Linked DNA regions of Callithrix jacchus. The protein of the gene in region 2 purifies or fractionates together with the protein of the main gene of each other region. This does not show direct contact. Links are inferred from orthologs where the notes say so. Each region holds a gene or a part of one and is shown on either strand. Other genes may lie near its edges.

Region 1 (4,063 bases), on a different chromosome or scaffold from region 2:
CAGGAGTGGGAAGACATGATTTCTTTCTTTTTTTTTTTTGAGACGAGTCTCACTTTGTCGCCCAGGCTGGAGTGCAATGACGCGATCTCAGCTCACTGCAACCTCCGCCTTCCGGGTTCAAGCAATTCTCCTGTCTTAGCCTCCCGAGTAGCTGGGATTACAGGCTCATGCCGCCATGTCCGGCTAAATTTTTGTATTTTTAGTAGAGACGGGTTTCACCGTATTCCCCAGGCTGGTCTTGAACTCCTGAGCTCAGGCAATCCACCCGCCTCGGCCTCTCAAAGCGCTAGGATCACAGGCGTGTGCCACCGTGCCCAGCCCGAAAGCAGGATTCCTTTTTTTTTTTTTTTTGAGGTTGCCCAGGCTGGAGTGCAGTGGCGCAATCTCGGCTCACCGCATGCAACCTCCGCCTCCCGGGTGCTTGCAATTCTCCTGCCTCAGCCTCCCGAGTAGCTGGGACTAGAGGCGTATGCCGCCACGCCCGGCTAATTTTTTTGTAGTTTAGGAGAGACGAGGTTTCTTTTCTTTTCTTTTTTCTTTTGAGACGGAGTTTCGCTCTTGTTACCCAGGCTGGAGTGCAGTGGCGCGATCTTGGCTCACCGCAACCTCCGCCTCCTGGGTTCAAGCAATTCTCCCGCCTCAGCCTCCCGAGTAGCTGGGACTACAGCCGCGCACCACCATGCCCAGCTAATTTTTTGTGTATTTTTAGTAGAGACGGGGTTTCACCATGTTGACCAGGATGGTCTCGATCTCTTGACCTCGTGATCCACCCGCCTCGGCCTCCCAAAGTGCTGGGATTACAGGCGTGAGCCACGGCGCCCGGCCGAAGGCAGGATTTCTAGCGACACGGTAGGGGCGCAGAACCCTTCCCTGGGGGAAGGGTTACTCGAACCCAGGACAGGAAGACAAGAAAGCAATCCAGTGGCTCTGCTCAGACTTTGCTCCTAAATCCTGACACTGAGCGACCCTTTAAGTAGATGCGCTCCACTTTTTCTCCAGAGCCTCTACGGCTCAATGAGAGAATCAAAGCTACTTCCGGCCATTTCTCACGCCGGGTTAGAGTCTAGGAATTCTTAAGTCTCCTCTTTTCGCCACTTTCCTCCCACGCGACTGACGTCACTTCTGGCGTAAGAAAGGGTGGAGGTGTCTTCCCTCGCTCATCGCGTACTTCCGCCCGCTCTTCCAGTTGGTCCTCTGGCCGGAGTGAAGCCACTTCCGGCCTCCCCGGCGCATTCCTCAGTCCTCTTCCGGGTGATGGCGGCCGGGTGCCCCGGATGTAGCCCTGGCGCAAGCATCTCTTCTTTGCCGCCTCACCTCCAGCGGATCCCCAGGTGAGCGCGCGAGCGTGGGACCATCCGAATCCCCGTGGCCCTCTACTTTGTACGCAGCCCGGGACAGGTGGAGCTCACCACACGGAATTGGGAGTTCGGAGCAGGGAGGAACGGGGCGGCGAGGGCGCCAGGTCCTGGGTCCGCCCGGGCCCCGCGAGCTCCGAGAGAGCCTGGGTAGGAGGCGGGGGTCAGCCCGTCGAGCCTGGTGGTACCCAGACTGCGGGGGCTGGGTTTGGAGGTGGTCACATGGTGGAGCCTGTCTCCTTTTGGCCGGGGTCGGGGGATCCAGAGGGATTGCCCCTCCGTCCCCGCCCCATTTAATTCGAGGATGCCAGACCGAGTACCAGAGGCCTTCTGGCTTCCAGCTCCCTTTCCGCCCCTGCTTTTGTGCTCCCTTCCCTCTCAAACTGTACTTGTCACCAAGAAAAATGTTTGCTGTGCCGGGAATCCTCTGGCGGCGAGTCCCCTCCTCACCCCGTTCTCTTCCTCTGCATACTTTCCTCAGCTTGAGGAACACCTTCTCTGCCCTGTCATGCCAAAGAGGAAAGTGACCTTCCAAGGCGTGGGAGATGAAGAGGACGAGGATGATATCAGTGTCCCCAAGAAGAAGGTGAGGGGACCAAACTTCTTTGTGTGGGGGGAAAGAGAGGAGCTAGAAGCCTGAGGAGGAAGAAAGTTGGGAGGGGCAAGGCGGGCTGGCAGAGAAAAGCCTAGTTTTTCCAGGTTCACTGAGGAATGGATTGGGAGCATCTTCAGTGTGGGTCCTGAAATATTTGGGGAAGTAGGGCTGGGCACGGTGGCCCACGCTTGTAATCCCAGCACTTTGGAAGGCCAAGGCAGGCAGATCACCTGAGGTCGGGAGTTGAAGACCAGCCTGGCTAACCTGGTGAAACCCCATTTCTACTAAAAGTACTAAAAATTAGCCGGGTGGTGGTGGGCACCTGTCCCAATTAGTTGGGAGGCTGATGTGGGGGAATCCCTTGAACACAGGAGCCGGAGGTTGCAGTGAGCTGAGATCAGCCATTGCACTCCAGCTTGGGCAACAAGAGTGAACTCTGTCTCAAAGAAAAAAAAAAAAAGAAATATCTAGGGAAGCAGTTGAGATCCTGAAATATTTGGGGAGTATTTGGGTCCAGATCTGGCAGTATTTGGGGAGGTAGCCAGTAACCTGCATTTCTTGACTTCCTGGCTCCTGCTCACAGCTGGTGGACCCTGTGGCTGGGTCAGGGGGTCCTGGGAGCCGCTTCAAAGGCAAACACTCTTTGGACAGCGATGAGGAGGATGATGACGATGGGGGGTCCAGCAAATATGACATCTTGTCCTCAGAGGATGTAGAAGGTGAGCTGTACTCAAGAATACACTCTACTGAAGGAAAAAGTAGAGACCTCTGGTGGTGTGAGGTGAGGGAGGCCCCGGTCTCTTTTTTTTCATCCCCAGCAAAGGACACCCCTGTCTTTGGTGCAGGTCAGGAGGCAGCCACACTCCCCAGCGAGGGGGGTGTGCGGATCACACCTTTTAACCTGCAGGAGGAGATGGAGGAAGGCCATTTCGATGCCGATGGCAACTACTTCCTGAACCGGGATGCTCAGATCCGAGACAGCTGGCTGGACAACATTGACTGGGTGTGGCCAAGGGGCTGGCATGGCTGGGGCCAGGGAGTGGCAGAGCTGCTGCCTGCTCCCGTGGCAGTTTGTGGGAAATCACTCCCCTTCTTCCCATTACAGGTGAAGATCCGGGAGCGGCCACCTGGCCAGCGCCAGACCTCAGACTCGGAGGAGGAGGATGGCTTGGGCCAGACCCCAATGAGTGCCCAAGCTCTCTTGGAGGGACTTTTGGAGCTCCTGTTGCCTAGAGAAACAGTGGCTGGGGCACTGAGGCGTCTGGGGGCCCGAGGAGGAGGCAAAGGGAGCAGCAAGGGGCCCGGACGACCCAATTCCCCACAGCGCCTGGACCGGCTCTCTGGGTTGGCCGACCAGATGGTGGCCCGGGGCAACCTTGGCGTGTACCAGGAAACTCGGGAACGGTTGGCCATGAGGCTGAAGGGTTTGGGGTGCCAGACCCTGGGACCCCACAATCCCACACCCCCACCCTCCCTGGACATGTTTGCTGAGGAAGTGGCGGAGGGGGAACTGGAGACCCCAACCCCTACCCAGAAAGGAGGTGAGCTTGGAGGACACAGGAGGAGGCACTGGGCAGGAGGCAGACACTGGAGGCCAAATGGCTTTGCCTGTTATTTTAGAAGCAGAGTCGCCGGGAGATGGTCTGGTGGATGTGATGTGGGAATATAAGTGGGAGAACACAGGGGATGCCGAGCTGTATGGACCCTTCACCAGCGCCCAGATGCAGGTGAGCCGCTTTCTTCCTCCTTCTGCCTTGTCCCTGCTTCCCCAACTCCTGTCAGTCCTTCCCCAGCTCTGCCCTCTCCTTGCAGACCTGGGTGAGCGAAGGCTACTTCCCGGACGGTGTTTATTGCCGGAAGTTGGACCCCCCTGGTGGTCAGTTCTACAACTCCAAACGCATTGACTTTGACCTCTATACCTGAGCCTGCTGGGGGCCCAGTTTGGTGGGCCCTTCTTTCCTGGACTTTGTGGAGGAGACCCCCAAGTGTCTCAGGCAGTGAGGAAATTGGAGGCCATTTTTCAGTCAATTTCCCTTTTCCAATAAAAGCCTTTAGTTGTGTATTAGGGCCTTCGCTGTGCTGATGGCCGGAAGCCAGAGGTCTTCTCCACAGC
Region 2 (3,745 bases):
TTACAAAAGGACATGTGAGTACTTCCATCCTCTTTCTCCATGAAAAACATCATCGGCTGGGCGTGTGGCTCACACCTGCAATTCTAACGCTTTGGGAGGCTGAGGCAGGAAGATCATTTGAGCCCAGGAGTTAAGACCAGCCTAGGAAATATGGCAAAACCTCATCTTTACAAAAAAATACAAAAATTAGCCAGCCATGGTGGCCTGAAATCCCAGCTACTTAGGAGGCCAAAGTGGGAGGACAGCTCAAGCCTGGGAGGCAGAGGTTACAGTGAGCCAAGATCTTGCCACTGAACTCCAGCCTGGACGACAGAGACAGACCCTGTCTCAAAAACAAAAACAGGCTGGGCACAGTAGCTCACATCTATAATCCCAGCAGTTTGGGAGGCCAAGGTAGGTGGATCACTTGAAGTCAGGAATTCCAGACCAGCCTGGTCAACATGGTGAAACCCCTGTCTCTACTAAATATGAAAATTAACCGTGCATGGTGGCGCATGCCTGTAGCCCCAGCTACAGGAGGCTGAGGCAGGAAAATCACTTCAACCTGGGAGGCGGAGGCTGCAGTAAACCAAGATTGGACCACTGTGCTCCAGGCTGAGCGACAGAGAGATACTCTTCAAAAAAAAAAAAAACAAAAAAAACATCCGTTTCTTTCCTTTCATAAATAGCATATATATGCAAATCCATCCATCTATATGTATGTATATGTTCTATTATACCCTTTGCATATTAAATGGTAAAAGAAACACTTATTGTTTATGTGGTATCAAAATTATTTAACGATGCCAATTGAAAAAACACAAATACTTCTTGTTAAAAAATAGTCCAAGGGGCCGGGAGTGGTGGCTCAAGCCTGTAATCCCAGCACTTTGGGAGGCCGAGGCGGATGGATTACGAGGTCAAGAGATCAAGACATCCTGGTTAACATGGTGAAACCCCATCTCTACTAAAAATACAAAAAATTAGCTGGGCATGGTGCCTGTAATCCCAGCTACTCAGGAGGCTGAGGCAAGAGAATTGCCTGAACCCAGGAGGCAGAGGTTGTGGTGAGCCGAGATCGTGCCATTGCACTCCAGCCTGGGTAACAAGAGCAAAACTCCATCTCAAAAAAAAAAAAAGTACAAAGTTGGCCAGGGTTGGTGGCTCACACCTATAATCTCAGTACCTTGGAAGGCTGAGGCAGGCAGATCACCTGAGGTCAGGACCAGCCTGTCCAACATGGAGAAACCCCATCTCTACTTAAAACACAAAATTAGCCAGGCATGGTAGCGTGTGCCTGTAATCCCAGCTACTCAGGAGGCTGAGGCAGGAGAATTGCCTGAACCCAGGAGGCGGAGGTTGCGGTGAGCCGAGATCGTACCATTGCACTCCAGCATGGGTAACAAGAGCGAAACTCCGTCTCAAAAAAAAAAAAGACTTCCTGGAACACTAAACATTAATTCAAATCAAGATCACAAGAGGTCCAGGAGAGGTGGCACACACCTGCAATCCCAGCACTTTGGGCGGCCAAGGCGAGTAGATCACCTGAGGTCAGAAGTTCGAGACCAGTCTGCCTGACATAGTGAAACTCTGTCTCACTAAAAAACAATAATAATAATACAAAAAATTAGCCAGGCATGGTGGCTCACACCTGTAATCCTAGCACTTTGGGGGAGGCTGAGGCAGGTGGATCACCTGAGGTCAGGAGTTCAAGACCAGCCTGGCCAACATGGTGAAACCTTGTCTCTATTAGAAATACAAAAATTAGCCGGGCATGGTGGTGAGTGCCTGTAATCCCAGCTACTAGGAGGGCTGAGACAGGAGAATCATTTGAACCTGGGAGGCTGAGGTTGCAGTGAGCCTAGATCGTGACACTGCACTCCATCCTGGGCGACAAGAGCAAAACTCCAACTCAAAAAAAAAAGAAATCACAATAAATACAGACCCATGCACCCTTTGCTTTTTTAATTCACAAAACCATTTTGCTTCCAGTCCTTAATTACTAACCTGGAGCTTAGTCAGCATGCCAGGGCTCTCTGATGGAGGTCCAGGAATCACCTCTGGCTCTTCTTCCACCTCCTCAAAACGGGGTATTCGTCGCTTCTTTACTCCTGATGATTCCTTAGAGATCTCAGAGTCATCACCAAACACCTCCTAAGGGAACCCAAGATGAAAGAAAAGCTGTATCCCTCCTCACAGGGAGAAGGAAAGAATTATCCTAGCCCCTACCAGCATTTTCTGGCTTCTCCCAGGGGAATATGACACAACCTTGCAAATAGCTATCTGCCAGAAGCAGGGTCTACTAGACTCTCCACCAAGTGGACCATCTCACCCAACTTCAACATTCTCCTAATCCAGTCAAACAAATTTCATTCCCATGTTCTTACAAATGTTCCCATCTCAAGGTCTTTGCAAATGCTACTGCCCACATTTATAATGTCTCTCAACTTTTCCACAACCCCTGTTCCAAATCCTGCCTAAAACTCACCTCCTCTAAGAAGTTTTCCTCATTATAAGCTCACCCCACTCTGATCAAACTTTTGTTTCACATTGTCTTAGCACCTAAGAGCTTGGTTCATATTAGGTTAAATTACATTGTTGATATTTTGTTTGCCAAGTGTTAAGTATTTCAATGTTAGTATAGTTTTCCCAACTAAGTCTAAGCTCTTCCAGGAAAGGGGCTTTCTCTTTCTTCTTCAGTAATCCCCATTAACACCTTGTTTTCATCAAACAATGGGAACTCAAATATGATGACTAATTTGCAAGGTGAATTTAACAGGACCGAGAGTGGCCAACTGGAAGGGACAATGGGAAAAAGCAAATGTACACACCGGTGGTAGGCTTTGGGTGACATCCCCTCTTCACTAGGAGGGCTCGTGTTTTGCAAGGACATATCCTCAGCCAGGGGCGAGCGCTTCCTGGAACTCCTACAGTTCAAGAAAAAGGACTCTCCCATAATATATTGTGTGGGGTGGGGACTTGAATGGACCAAAAATGGGACCCGTATCCCAAGGCTATCTAGATACCTCCTTCAAGAAACCATTTTTATTAATCCCACCCAATGTAGTCACTTCACTCACAGTATGCCCTCAGCACTCATACAGAAGTATGCCCTACTGGCTTGGCACAGTGGCTCACACCTGTAAATCCCAGGACTTTGGGAGGCCAAGGCAGGCAGATCACAAGGTCAGGAGTTCGATGTCCCAGCCCTTTGGGAGGCCAAGGCAGGCGGATCACCTGAGGTTGGGAGTTCAAGACCAGCCTGACCAACATGGAGAAACCCCGTCTCTACTAAAAATACAAAAATTAGCCAGGCATGGTGATTCATCCCTGTAATCCCAGCTACTCCAGAGGCTGAGGCAGGAGAATTGCTTGAACCTTGAAGGTGGAGGCTGCAGTGAGCCAAGATCACGCCATTGCACTCCAGCCTGGGCAACAAGAGTAAAACTCCGTCTCCAAAAGAAAAAAAAAAAAAGTTTGAGACCAGCCTGATCAACATGGTAAACCCCGTCTCTACTAAAGATATAAAAATTAGCCAAGCATGGTGGCACGTGCCTGTAATCCCAGCTATTTAGGAGGTTGAGGCAGGAGAATTGCTTAAAGCTGGGTGGTGGAGGTTGCAGTGAGTCGAGATTACGCCGCTGCACTCCAGCCTGGGTGACAGAGCAAGACTTCATCTCAAAAAGAAAAAGAAAGTATGCCCTATTGTGACATAATCATCACTGTATATATCTGTGTATACTATGGATCAATCATTCCCCCTTAA

Evidence for each region. Proteins that work in one complex are often made in the same cells at the same time.
Region 1: the proteins of PRPF3 (region 2) and CD2BP2 purify together in Homo sapiens (affinity purification with mass spectrometry; 3 studies listed by BioGRID and IntAct, with this or other methods). This does not show direct contact. The link is inferred for Callithrix jacchus from reciprocal best matches to the Homo sapiens genes PRPF3 and CD2BP2.

What each region holds. Positions count from the first base shown.
Region 1 is NC_133513.1:29,873,078-29,877,140, reverse strand, and holds the start of CD2BP2 (CD2 antigen cytoplasmic tail-binding protein 2), read left to right. Parts: upstream 1-1,263; 5' UTR 1,264-1,398; exon of another isoform or gene 1,399-1,505; intron 1,506-1,836; 5' UTR 1,837-1,863; coding exon 1,864-1,941; intron 1,942-2,533; coding exon 2,534-2,669; intron 2,670-2,795; coding exon 2,796-2,953; intron 2,954-3,055; coding exon 3,056-3,491; intron 3,492-3,570; coding exon 3,571-3,677; intron 3,678-3,762; coding exon 3,763-3,873; 3' UTR 3,874-4,063. UniProt on the Homo sapiens protein: Involved in pre-mRNA splicing as component of the U5 snRNP complex that is involved in spliceosome assembly.
Region 2 is NC_133519.1:10,253,451-10,257,195, reverse strand, and holds part of PRPF3 (U4/U6 small nuclear ribonucleoprotein Prp3), read right to left. Parts: intron 2,134-3,745; coding exon 1,987-2,133; intron 1-1,986. UniProt on the Homo sapiens protein: Plays a role in pre-mRNA splicing as component of the U4/U6-U5 tri-snRNP complex that is involved in spliceosome assembly, and as component of the precatalytic spliceosome (spliceosome B complex).